Linked DNA regions of Caenorhabditis elegans. The protein of the gene in region 2 interacts with the protein of the main gene of each other region in a pairwise test. Each region holds a gene or a part of one and is shown on either strand. Other genes may lie near its edges.

Region 1 (7,603 bases), on a different chromosome or scaffold from region 2:
GATAATGGGACTTTTATTTCACTTTTTACCCCACATTTTGCTTTTTTTTTTAGACAGATACTACTGATAATAATTCTCGCCCCATAACCAACATTAGTTTCATTGTTCTTCAAGAACCAATAAAATAGCAGCTGTTATGTAATAATGTATTCACAGACAACTGATGGCTAGTGTTGTATGTGCACGTCAACTGCCATGTAGGTACTGAACATATAATGGTGTCGAGGTCGTCAATCTGAATTTCCAATGAGAATGTATTCGAGAACGATGCAACAAATTGGCCCGTTTATGGTGGTGTCAGATTTTTAATTTTATTTTCTTCATTTTTTCATGTGTTTTATGTCTATTATCAAACAGTAGCTTTTTGGCTCTTATCAGTCAAGCAAAAATATAATTATTTTTTGTTAAACCGTAGATTGTAGTTATCTTATTTGAAATCACATGGTTTTTTGTGTCAGTAGGAATAGTTTTCAAATTGTTTTGTGACAACGAGGAATGAAAAAAGAAGAAATTACATAAATAAGATTTAAATCTCAATCTAAAAACATTTTTAGAACTTTTTCAAAGATATGTTGAATTCTGGCAACTTTAGGTAGTTTTAAATTTTCCACGAAATTTCAAATCAAATGTTAACCAGTTGGTAATATTTGATCTAAAGTTCATACTAATCTGTAATTTTTTGGTGTAATGCAAAATATTAGAATTTTAAAATTTTGAAATCAATTGTTAGAAAGCGTCTCCCTGTTTTGCATATTTTTGTCGTTTATTTTGTTGTTTGTAGATTTGGGTAGATCTTCAGTTTATATGATCTTCGATTGTGCTATTTTCGGATTTTTATGGATAAAAATTACATCTTAAAACTCTCGGAATAAACTATCAAAATGAGGAGCGATGTGTTTTTTTTTAATTTTGCCCTGCAGGTACCCGGAGTAGTTGGCGAAGATAGAAATGGTGTTATCTTATATAAATTCAGACTTTCTCTGTTAAAATTTTAACCACCAAAAAATATAGAATTTATAAAAAGTTTCATTTTGAAATTTTATCTTTTGGGGCCATTTCACTACCTTATCAGGAAGAAATGTGTTTCATCAGAAATTGAATTTTTCATCTTTTCAGAAAGTGTACCTAATACCGTATCATGCTCATATTCACGTGAATAAGGCTTCTGCCCAGTTCTGTGATTCAAGGAAAACTACGAAAAATGATCTCATTTTCTTTGATTTATCACCGAGCTGGTGTGTCATCACACACAGTCTGTTTCTTGATAAAAACGCGCAGAAGTTAGAGCATTCATTGTGATTTTGGGTCTTTAATTTCTGTAAAACAAATAAAGTGACAAGTTTATCATCTGCCTATTTTATCAGTTATATGCATGGTTAGTTGCAAATAAGGGAGTAGAAATTGACTAAAACTCAAAATGAGCACTGAAACGAGGGGTTTTGTTAGTTGCGAAATAACAATTAATACAATCTGGTTGATTACTTTGTAAAAGGATAATAAAATATGCAAAACTTGGCGTATTCTGAGATTTCATTCCTAAAGACATTTATCAAAACAAATGTTTTCTGCAATTTTCTAAATTCTTGGAATTCTGCCCAGCAGCCTCTAATATCGCGTTTTACTTAGAAAATGACTTTTGGTTTCATTTTCTCATTTTCTGGCTTCTATTTTTCACAAATGCAAATATTTACATTTAAATTAGTACTTTCATTTCTACAAAGATCAAATTTAACATTATTGACAGGTTTACTGTTATCTTGTGACAGTTCCGTACTGTCAATCAAAACGAAAATTAAAACTCATGAAATATCAATGAACATAAATTGAAAAAAAAACCCAGTTGAAAGGAGAAAATAAGCGAAACACACCAACAACTGAGTAGTTACGCTCACAATTTGGAAATGATTTTGAAAACTCTCTGGACTGCATTTCAATTTTTAACAAACAATGAATACATACTGATAGTTTTTGTACTTCTCGGCATTCAGAGGCAACTTCCTGCCAACAACCTGGCAACTTATTTAGTGCCACTAAAATAAGTTGCCAAATTGTTGGCAGGAAGTTGCCTCCAAATGCCGAGTTGGAGCAAATGATTCGATATGATTTTAAGGATACCTACGCATGCCTCCTGCCAAGACACGCACCCACCTACTGAAATGTCGCGGAATTTTACCTCCCAAACTATAGATTGGGTGAAACTTCACTGTAAAAGCTTTTTTTAAGTAGTAGGCTGGCAGTAATGAAGACGTCCATACCATAATTTTTAATGTTGTATAGAAAATCTGAATTCTCAAGTATAACATTTTCCAATAATTAGCATAGTCAGAAACTCTCCACCGCCGTTCCGTTCCTTTTTTTTGTAACTATGGAGTAATAGAACAAGATTATTCAAATTCAAATTTTTATAAAACTTTACAACGTCCTTTCCATATATTCTTCACACAACATTTGAAAAAACAACAAATTCATTCGAAATGCATTGCCCATAATGAATCGACCGAAAAACACAAGTGACCGTCAGGAGATCGATAGAGAGAGCCCGTTCCAACTAGACAACTTTTTAGTGCTTATCCTTACACACACTTTCTAGCTTCATAAGAAATGCATCTATTATCGTCACCATTTGGAGACACCAGTTTTAGCGCACATTAATAATCGATCAGGGTCTAGAGACTCCTGTTGGATTGGCATGCCACGCCTACATGACATCTGGCTCTTGACGGGTGATTTGTTACAGTGAGTAGCCACAATTTCGCGCATTTTCTTCTAAATTTCACTGTTATTTGTTCTTCTGATTTATTTCATTTGAACTATGGAAATGTTAGAGTCAAAGCCTCTCAGTGCGATTAGTATGGTTATTGATTCAATTGGAGTTGATCATGAAAATCAGGTGAGTAATTAAACTTGAGCAGTTGTGAATTTCATCAGAAAACAATTTTTCTTTAAAAAAATTTAAAAGTAACAATTTGAGAGTCAGAAAAATGAAATTAACATCAATCGAAAACTTACATTGCATTTGCTTGAAAGTTTTTACAAAGACTTCTGCGTGTCAAGAAATTCCAATTTGAAATTTATACAAAATCCGCACGAGGGAAAATTTCTGTTCGACTTTCAGAGAGTCAAGTAAAATTACCGCATCTTCTAAAAATTCTGAAAGTTAGATTCTGAAAGTCAATCGTGTAAACTTTTGGTTGGTATTCATTCTATTTTCCAATCTCATTTTATCGATACGATCTCTAGTGAAACTTGTGTCTAACATTCTATAATTTTTTTAAATATTTCTAGAACAAATGTAATTGCTGCAATGAGCAAATTTATGATCGTTATATTTATCGAGTAAGTTTGCTGATGTTTGTGGATTTTTCAAACTTTCTTTGCTTTGCTTCTGTAAACAGTCTGCTCAAAATCTTGAATATTTTTCTTTTGCTTCTATAGTTCGAACAACATTTCAAGATTTCAGCCATCATTTATTTTCAGATGGACAATCGATCGTATCACGAAAATTGTGTCAAATGTACAATATGTGAGTCTCCTCTGGCCGAAAAGTGTTTTTGGAAAAATGGGAGAATTTATTGTAGTCAACATTATTATAAGTAAGCTTTAGCAAAATATTCTTGGAATTAATAAAAATACATTATTTCAGGGATCACAGTATTCATCGGTGTGCGGGTTGCAAGAAAGGAGTGTCACCGACAGATATGGTATATAAACTGAAGGTATTAAATTGGGTCAGAATGTTTAAGAAAACATTAAACTTTGAGCGAACCTATACAAAAAGTTGTCAACTTTTTATCAATTAAATTTTTGACTACTTTTGTATAAACAGTAGGAATGCCCGAAAGATTTCAAAAAGCCTACAATTTCAAATTAAAAAAAAAACCAAAGCTTTGACTAATAGTTTTGAAAGATGTAATCATTTTTTACGCTTTGCTCTTTGCTCTGACGGGATCCTGCTAGACGCACAAGCATAGAGCTTGGGGCTTTGATCGGTAAAGTTTGACTCAAAGAACTTTACAGGCTGGGCTCGTGTTCCATGTGGAATGTCATTGTTGCTCTTTGTGTGGACGGCATTTATCACCGGGGGAACAAATTCTTGTTGACGATACAATGATGACCGTATCCTGTATGTCACATTATCCTCCTCAAATGGATGACAACGCACCTGGAGCAATAGGATCTGCAGTTGATATACCATCTTGTTCGACAGAAAATCCAATTGCCCCATATCCAATTGATGAATCTTTTTCATCAGCTTTCCAAGTTAAAAAGGTATACTTTATTTTTCGTTGAAAGTTTAAAGGGATTAAATACCGAATAATGTACTGCATATTTAATTTTTAGGAGGTTGACGCTTATGGATACAACTTTGAGCATTATAGCTTTTCCGATTTCTGTGATGATGATTCACGAATGCTAAAAAGACGCGGACCTAGAACGACAATCAAACAAAATCAGGTATACAATGTAAGAAAGCGGAAATTTTCATAATGATTTTCAGTTGGACGTGCTGAATGAAATGTTCTCGAATACACCAAAGCCGTCGAAACATGCTCGAGCCAAATTGGCATTGGAGACCGGTTTAAGCATGAGAGTAATTCAGGTTTGGTTCCAAAACCGGAGAAGTAAGGAACGGAGGCTCAAACATTTGTGCAATTACTTGAGACATTATGAGCAACGTGGGCTCATTCCTCCGCCAATTCATTTTAGAAATGGTTAGTTTAAAGATTCAATCTGGAAAACGCAGTAATAGCTCTGAAATTTCAAAAAATAGATAGTGACTAGTAAACATTTTAACAAGTTGTTTTGTTGCATAAACATTAAGTTTGACACTAAAACTTTTCAAATCGGACTTTGTTCATAACTCAGATCCGAAATCTCTAAGCAAATAATTTATATAGATGAAAAAAAACTACCTTCTTTCGTGGCGATAAGTGCCTGTTTCGTGCCTACACATATGCCTACCTACTGTCTTAAAGCATGCGTAAATCTATTCCGTTCACTGAAATTCCGGCTATAACTGAAAACTCCATTAAAACTCCATAAAACAGGCAATAGATAGGCGCTTAGGCAGGGAAACATGTCTCACGTTTCTCTAATTTTCTGTATTTAAAGTTTCTCAATCATTCATTTTTGATTGTTCAAATCTATTTTCATAGAATTTTTTCTTCGAATTTCATGATGTTTAATTATTGAGTAGTTTCCCTATAATTATATATAACGCGTTTCCAATTATTGTCTGTTGTCTTGTTCGAAAATCTAAGCAACACTGATGTGGCAGTACACCAGAATACGCACAGAAAGCAAAAATCCAGAAAAGTTTGAGTTGCCACGTCATAAATCACAAACCAAATGGCTTGGCTCTTTCGAACTTTTTGCTGCTCTTGCATTCTTGTTTTTTTTTATTCTCTTTTTTCATTTCAGAAGAAATGGACACAACTGACTTCAACGCGTTTTGCGGAAATTTCGAAGAGGAAGATGATGAAGATTGATGAAGATTTTTTTAATTTTTAAAACAATATATTCCATTTATATATATATATTTCATAATGTATTTTCCTTCCCAAATCTTGAATTTCATTACATGTTTGCCAAAACTTGTGTTCTGAACTTGTTCAAATATTCACGTTTGCGCGAATAAGTAATTGAATGTCAGTCGATAATCTGATCTCAATGATTCCATTTTTAATTGTCCATGAATCATAAAATCACGAAATCTTAAAAATTCTCACACTTTGTCTCGATTCAAAAATAATCCTAAATGCTACGTTTTTGTGTTGGGTTTGTTGGTTTAAAAACGAGAAAATTTTCAATTATTCCGTCACCTTGATTGAAATAAGATTTGTTTTCCTCGTAAAAGAAAACGGTTCAACTAGCTGGTTTTCAAAAGATTTTCGAACCCTTGTAAAAGACTTATGTAACTCTATAATTAATGTTTCCGTCAAAGAATTGTGTAAATTGTATAAAAATAGTTTTAAAAATTAATGGAGGAAACTTCTTGAAAATTCAGCATTAAAATATAGTAGGTGTGTTTTTTTGTCAACGCCTTCGTGATACCTATTCCAATAACTAAATAGGTTTTTGCTACGGGTTGTAGTTCCTCGGAAAAAGAAACAATTTAATTTACTGAGCTAAGTGAACTATTTCCTCGCAACTTCCACACTTTTTCTTTCCTTCCCCAGAACGAGAAAATATTAGTTTTACCTGTAATTACTAGCTTATTTTCCAACATCTAAAACCAGCCCCCTTGAAGTACAATTAGCCAATGACGCACACGTTTGAGACTTTCAGATCAAAGGAGTTCTTCATGAAAACTTTGAAATATTTTCCCGTGGTCTTTGTCCCTGAATGTTGAAAAAAGTGGGAATTTCAGAACCTCGAGACTTGAGTTTTTAATTATACTGCTTTCTAACCCATTCATGTTTGGGAGAACGATAAAGCTATGAATTATGATCGTAGTTTTTTTTCACTATTTTTTTTGTTTGTTGGCTTTTTTTTCAAAATTTCAATGATTTGTTTTCGCATTGACTTAATCAACTTTCCAAAACATTTTTATTAACTTTGTTTAGATTTATTACTTAAGTTTCTGATTCGGTTTGAAGCATTGAACATTCATGTTTATGAAAAGTGCGCTACATAGTTTAAAAAGCTAAACGTATTTTATAAGTTCGGATAATTACTACGGTAGTCCTTGCATCCATGTCTCTCCTCAAAAGCAAATTCGATTGTTTCAGAATGAGTATCCAACCGCACAAAAACCATGTGGTTTTTTTTGATAATCTGTTGTTGATAAATCATCAGAAGTTAATTTTTAAAGCTCAAAATAGATACAAACTCGTGGAATGTTTTGATACTTTTGGTGACCTAATGAGCAACCTATAGCATGTGCAGCTGATTTAAAAGCGTAGTGTTGATGTAGTGTCGATGACATGTTATGGGTAAATTCATCAAAATATATGTACTTTAGTAAGCTAAATTTCCTGATAATTATCGTTGAGCTAAAGACGTGACGATTTTTAAAAACTAATGTGCACTTACTGTTCATTTGATCATAGAGTTTCTAGATTACAACGAGTTTGAAGAAAAGTGTTAGAAGACTAACATTTGATTAAGCTTGGTTTAAATCGCTAGGGTAGTCATTTTTTCTTGCATCCTAGTACAAGTTTTTTGACTTCTCACTGTTCAAACGACTATCTTTTAAGTTATTCTGAAGCACTTTGAACTTCAAAAAACAAACCACCTTCCCCATCCTCGCACATTTTCTAAACATTTCGTATTTTTCAATTAAATAATCTTGACAATTCTTTCCTGTAGATCATTTCCATCTTGCTCTTAACAATCCAAATGCCCAAAACGAAACTAGCTTCGTCAGTAGAGTAAGTTTTAAGAACAACAGAAAGCGAGCGCATGCTCAAGCTAATTTATGCAAAAACGTCTTCCTGTGTATTTTTTTCTTCGTTTTTCCTCCAAAAAAATAAACAGAGACATAATAAGATGTTAATTCGGAAGACGAATCTGGTGTAGATGCTAAAATAATTTTTTAGTCTTCGGCTTGCATGGCCACCAGGGTTTTGGACTTTTGTTGAGAATTCGACTTAAAATAGTT
Region 2 (5,924 bases):
TTGGATAGTACAGCCGTAGTATCACACGTGTCAGACAAGGATGCACTGGAGTTGATGGCGGCTTTCGATCTAAAAATGAAATAACTTCCAAAACTCTCTAAACTGAGTATTTTCAAACTGGCGTATCTTGAAAAATACACATCTGGAAAACAAATGTCCAATCAACAAAATGATCAGAAATATTTTTTCTTTTTAATTCAATAATTTGTATGTCAACACACCAATTTTTTGTTGAGTTACACAGAGTCAAAGCCATTTTTCCAAAATTCATAGAAAATTTTGAGAACTCTTTTGTTGTACCCTTTATAACTCAACATTCATTGCATTTCAAAAGATAAATTTTGTTAAATAGTGAGTGAAAAAATGTTTTCCACATTTTATCAGTTTTAAGTTTTTTGATATTTTCATGTTCCGCCAAGTTATAGACCGTTTTCTGAAAAAATCCATTTTCCGCCATAAAAATCTTCATATATAACGTATCGACTTGAAATTTTGAAAAATGCTCACTTTTTTGAGGTCTCTACAATGTCCTAAAAAATCTTTCAAAAAATCCTGCCCATCTCCAAAATCGTCCTCTGCTCCAAAATAAGAAATGGGACTTTTGCTTTTCGAAAAATGGGCGAAAAAATCAAATTGCGATTTTTGGGTCGAAAAAAATATTTTTAGAATGCTGAGAACACGCTATTTACGAATTTCATATTCATTTTAGGTGAATTCTTCTTTAAAATGACCTAAAAATTAAACAAAAAGAACATAATTTTAATTCTCACGTAAAAATTTTTGGTAACTTGCTCAGTGCTTCAATTGTTTTATTGTAAATAAAAATATTTCACGTGAGAATTAAAATTATGTTCTTTTTGTTTAATTTTTAGGTCATTTTAAACAAGAATTCACCTAAAATGAACATGAAATTCGTAAATAGCGTGTTCTCAGCATTCTAAAAATATTTTTTTCGACTCAAAAATCGCAATTTGATTTTTTGGCCCATTTTTCGAAAAGCAAAAGTCCCATTTCATTTTTCGGAGCAAAGGACGATTTTGGAGATGGACAGTGTTTTTTGAAAGATTTTTTAGGACATTGTAGAGACCTCAAAAAAATGATCATTTCTCAAAATTTCAAGCCGATACGTTGTATATGAAGAGTTTTATGGCGGAAATTTGATTTTTTTGAAAAACGGTCTGTAACTTGACAATACATAAAAATATCAAAAAACAAAACTGATAAAATGTGGAAAAATATTTTTCATTTACTATTTAACAAAATTTATCTTTTGAAATTCAATGAATGTTGAGTTATAAAGGATACAATAAAAGAGTTCTCAAAATTTTTTGTGAATTTTGGAAAAATGGCTTTGACTCTGTGTAACTCAACAAATAGTTGGTGTATTCAAATAATAATTAATGTAATAAAAATAAAAAATATTTCTTTTTTTTGAGATACGCCAGTTTGAAGATACTCAGTTTAGCGAGTTTAAGCGGTTATTTGGTCCACTGAACATCTTTCCCTATACTCTCATTTTTTCAGAGAATTTTTTCAAATTTTCGATTTTCAGCTCGATTTAAATACATTCAATGTCAATGGAGAATTGGTAAAATCTGACTATATATATGCCTACCTTCTACCTACCTACCATCTATTTTCTGTACTCAGAAGCAAAGTACACTAAAGTGAGTTGAAACAAATTTTCACGTCTATTTTGGCTTTAGGCACTCCTTCAGGTAGGCGTAGGCCGTCTTTTAAGCAGATTGTCAATATATTATACATTTATCGTAAAATGAGTAAAAATTAGTTAAAACTTAAAATATGATATCAATTATAATTTCCCATCACGAGATCATAAAATTCATCGGACGGCGCATACAAGTTGAAAACTTTTGTCATTTCCAAATCATCCTGTATCCTACGAACACTTTTATGCACATCTGGTAGAATATTCACAAGAGTTCCAATTCTCACAAGAGGCTCTTCGACTTTTTTTACATTCCTCATATAAAAATCGAGTTCTTTCAATACTTGAGTTTTGATCTTATCGCCAATTTTAATGCATTCATCGCTCAATTCGATAAGTCCAGTATCCCAAAGTAACATTGTGAAGAGAGCAAGATATTCTATTATATCCATTTGAAGAGTCATCATTGGCAAGATCACTGACTTTTTGAAGCGCTCATAGGATGGCTTGAAGAGTCTAAATTTTTTAGATTTGTTGTACATAACTGATTTTTTCAGGAATAGTTGGAATATTCTAACGACATATTCCAGATCGAGTTTTTTCCTACTCACCTATTAATATCTTCACTGGAAATTTGCTTATCAGAATCTGTACCATTGTAAAATGAATTCAAATCATTTGTGTCAATATAGTCCCCAGATGGGAATGTTATTGCATCCGGTGTATTGTTCAAATGACTCGAAAATCCACTTTCCATAATGAAAAATGCGGTGTACGAGTTGTGGAACAAAATTCTCTGAAAAAAACAATCCACTTTAACTGCTAAAACCTAAAAACCTACCTTCTGATCAATCGGCAAGTTGGAAAATTCATCAAAGCTCCATGAGACCCAATCAGAAGCCAACGTGACATCCTTCATACCCTGCTTCACCGCTTCTTTGTAATTTACTGCCTTTGGAGTTCTCTTTTCAAATACAGTTTTATCTTCAGCCTTGTGAAGCGCTATCCGAGCATTGCACATTGTTTGGTAACTTGCTCGGATTTTTGAGAGAATTGGCATTTGACCCGTAAGTGGTAGTTCGAGCATCAATGAGTTGGACGTTCGGGGGCTCGAGAGTAAATCAATTGAAACTTCTTTGCGGTTTTTGGGTAGTCTTGGTTTCTGTTGAACTCCGACAGGATTCATTCCAACCTCAATGCATTTGACATAACGGCACGCACGGCACATACATCGAATATCTGAATTTTATTTATATTAAATTTTTAATAATTAAACTAATCCAAAGTTTGGTCCAAACAACTTCAAAAAAACGACCGTGATTTTTTTCAGGCGGTCCCTTTTTTCCCAAAAAATATGTTACATTTTCTTTTGCTTTTACAAAGGTACAACATGCCTGTGTAAGGAATTGATTAATATGTTATTTTTTGTACTTTAAAAATTAAATGTTAATATTTACAGAAGTTTAAAAATACTCACTAACAGTAACATCGCAATCGTTATTCCCTTGACACAAATATGTTTTACTCTGGGACACACTTCGACGGAAAAATGCTGCGCAAGCTCTGAAATCTAGGTTTTAAAGTCTGACCTATAAATAAATAAGTACCTGCAAGCTTCTGCTCCAAAGTGGAACCCATCTCCAGGTTCTCGGCAAATTGAGCATTTCGATTGATCCTTATCTTTTTGTCGTGGTCCCATTCTAGCAATTTAATTTTTTTCTTTTAAATTAATCAATAGTTTATGAACACACAAAGTGCAGAATAATGATTGATAATGGAGATAGAAAGATAAAATATGGTTTTCTGTTGATAAATAGTGAGAGGCGGAAAAGAAAAAAATTACGAGGCAATATTGCATTCATTTGAAACGTATTCCTTTGTAAGTTGAATTAGTAAAACAAATAAAACAAGAATTTTGTTTCTTTTATTCTCAGAAATTGCCAGTAACAAGATCAAAAAACTCATTGGGCGCCGAAAAAATATTAAAGACTTTAGTCATCTCCATGTCATCCTGTATTCTCCGTACGCTTTTATGAACTGCTGGAAGTAAGTTGACAATTGTCCCTATTCTAACTGATGGCTCTGCGACTTTCTTCACATTTGTCAAATAGAAATCCAGCTCCTTGAATACTTCTGCTTTGACTTTTGTGCCAATTTCCAGACATTCATCGGTGATCTCAACAAGGCCAGTATCCCAGTGGAGAAGTGTAAAAAGTGTGAGAAATTCATAGATGTCAACTTGAAGATTCATCATTGGGAGGAGCAAAGATCTCTTGTAATTGTCGTAGAACGGCTTGAACAAGCTGAAAATTTGAAAAAAAAAACGTTAAGTTTAACCATCTCTTTTCTAATACTTTTCAATATCTTCCGTGCTGATTTTTTTTTCAAAATTTGTAGAATTATAGTATCGCTCCAAGTTTTTCATGTCACAATAGTCTCCAGATGGGAAAATGACAGAGTCCGGCATATTGTTGATATGACTTAAAAATGCAGTTTCCATCATGAAAAATGGAATGTAGGAGTTGCGGAACAAGATATTCTGCAAAAAAGGAAAATTCAAAAATAGAAGTATTTTTAACATGTCTAGTTTTAGCCTCATTATTGTTCAATTTGCTCAAAAATGTTTTGACATTTTACGTAGGCATATGAAATAGGTAGACAAGCAGGTAGGTACGGCTGTAAGGCACCGCTATATTTAGATCTGCTGCATGCCTTAGCAAATGTCCTACCTACATGTCTGCCACATTTCTGAGGGCCTACCTACGCACCTTTCGCCTACCTACATGGCTACCTTTTGCCTCAAGGTATAGGGAAACATTTGATGTGTTAAAATAGCCATTTAAGTTTTCCGACTCACTTTCTGATCAGCGGATAACGTTCGAAACTCATCAAAACAAGAGGACACCCATTCAGGCATCAGCGTATAATCCTTCATTCCCTGCTGAACTGATTCTTTATAATTTATTTCTTTTGGAATCTTCTCCTCAAATACATTTTCTCCAACTTCATTGTGCAATGCTTTCCTGGCATTTCTCATATTTTCATAGTTCAATTTCATTTTTGAAAGTATTGGCATTCGACTGAACTCGTCATGATTTGATGAACTGGGAGAGATGAGTTCCTTTGATTTCCGGAAACTACCAGGCTTCTGCCGAACTCCTACAGGGTTCATTCCAACTTCGATACATTTGGTAAGTCGACATGCCCGGCACATGCATCTGATGTCTAAACAAATCAAGATAGATAATTTCAATTGGGCTTAGAGAACAAGCCGACTTGCCTGTCTGCCTGGCTTAGGCCTAGGCTTAGAGGCTTAGACTGAGCCTTATGTAGGCTTGTAAGCCCGACCTTAGTGAAAATGTTTTATTTTTTTGAAGTTTTTTTTTACAGAATGCCTTTGAGTTTATAACATAGTCCAAAATTTTGGCTCAAAACAGGTCAATTAATTTTTACTCACTAACAGTAACATCACAATCGTTATTTCCGCTACATGTATATAATTTATTTTCTGAAATACTTCTCCGGAAGAATGCAGCACATGCTCTGAAATTGTGCGATGTCTTGTATACAATTTAAATTTTACCTGCAAGCTTCTGCTCCAAAGTGAAAACCATCTCCAGATTCTTGACAAATCGAACATTTCGATTGATTTTCCCCTTTTGATCGAGGCCCCATCACGGGAAATTGGAGAAAATGGATGAGAAAAAGAAATAGAGAAAAGAGGAATTGATGATAAGAATGATAATGAGAGAGTGTATGTAGTTCTTGTAGTTGCCCAAGAGAGAGGTGGAAAACAAAAAAATTAATAGAGAAATTTTACACTTCCGGTAAAATTGGATTTGAAAATTTATTAACTTCTTCGAAAGCTTTTTTCCAGAAAATTGTTCCAAATAATTTTTTGGTCAGTTGGTTATAAATTTGTCAAATTAATTTATTCAGTTTTTTTTAAAATTTGTTTTGAAAAGTAGGATATATAATTTTCAAGTTTTCCCCCTTTTATATACACACAGTTGTATAAAACTCATAATTTATTCAAAAATTTCAATCCTTACATTACTACAAAGTTTCTGAAAGACATTTCAAAAAAAATTATTTACAAGAGATTTATGAATTTTCAAAATTTCGAAAATCCATCTATTTTTGTCTATAAATGGTAGTTTTCATTAAATAATAAAATACGCACTAAAAGGTAGGGCTGAAAATGTACTATTTCTGTAACTACGTGAAGCATCTTGTACCTACTAGAATATTGTTG

Evidence for each region. The genes of interacting proteins can lie anywhere in the genome.
Region 1: the proteins of nhr-273 (region 2) and mec-3 interact in a two-hybrid assay, tested with the Caenorhabditis elegans proteins (one large-scale study listed by BioGRID).

Annotation. Positions count from the first base shown.
Region 1 is NC_003282.8:10,456,976-10,464,578, reverse strand, and holds mec-3 (Mechanosensory protein 3), read left to right. Parts: upstream 1-2,711; 5' UTR 2,712-2,812; coding exon 2,813-2,890; intron 2,891-3,285; coding exon 3,286-3,336; intron 3,337-3,477; coding exon 3,478-3,593; intron 3,594-3,643; coding exon 3,644-3,716; intron 3,717-4,017; coding exon 4,018-4,269; intron 4,270-4,341; coding exon 4,342-4,455; intron 4,456-4,498; coding exon 4,499-4,712; intron 4,713-5,421; coding exon 5,422-5,489; 3' UTR 5,490-5,763; downstream 5,764-7,603. Other genes in the region: srb-17 (Serpentine receptor class beta-17), read left to right, coding at 7,342-7,373. UniProt on the Caenorhabditis elegans protein: Transcription factor. Specifies differentiation of the set of six touch receptor neurons (TRNs).
Region 2 is NC_003280.10:4,432,823-4,438,746, reverse strand, and holds nhr-273 (Nuclear Hormone Receptor family), read right to left. Parts: upstream 3,448-5,924; 5' UTR 3,369-3,447; coding exon 3,277-3,368; intron 3,233-3,276; coding exon 3,147-3,232; intron 2,909-3,146; coding exon 2,511-2,908; intron 2,466-2,510; coding exon 2,281-2,465; intron 2,186-2,280; coding exon 1,810-2,185; 3' UTR 1,749-1,809; downstream 1-1,748. Other genes in the region: nhr-109 (NR LBD domain-containing protein), read right to left, coding at 3,600-3,972, 4,024-4,208, 4,527-4,894, 5,127-5,212, 5,253-5,344.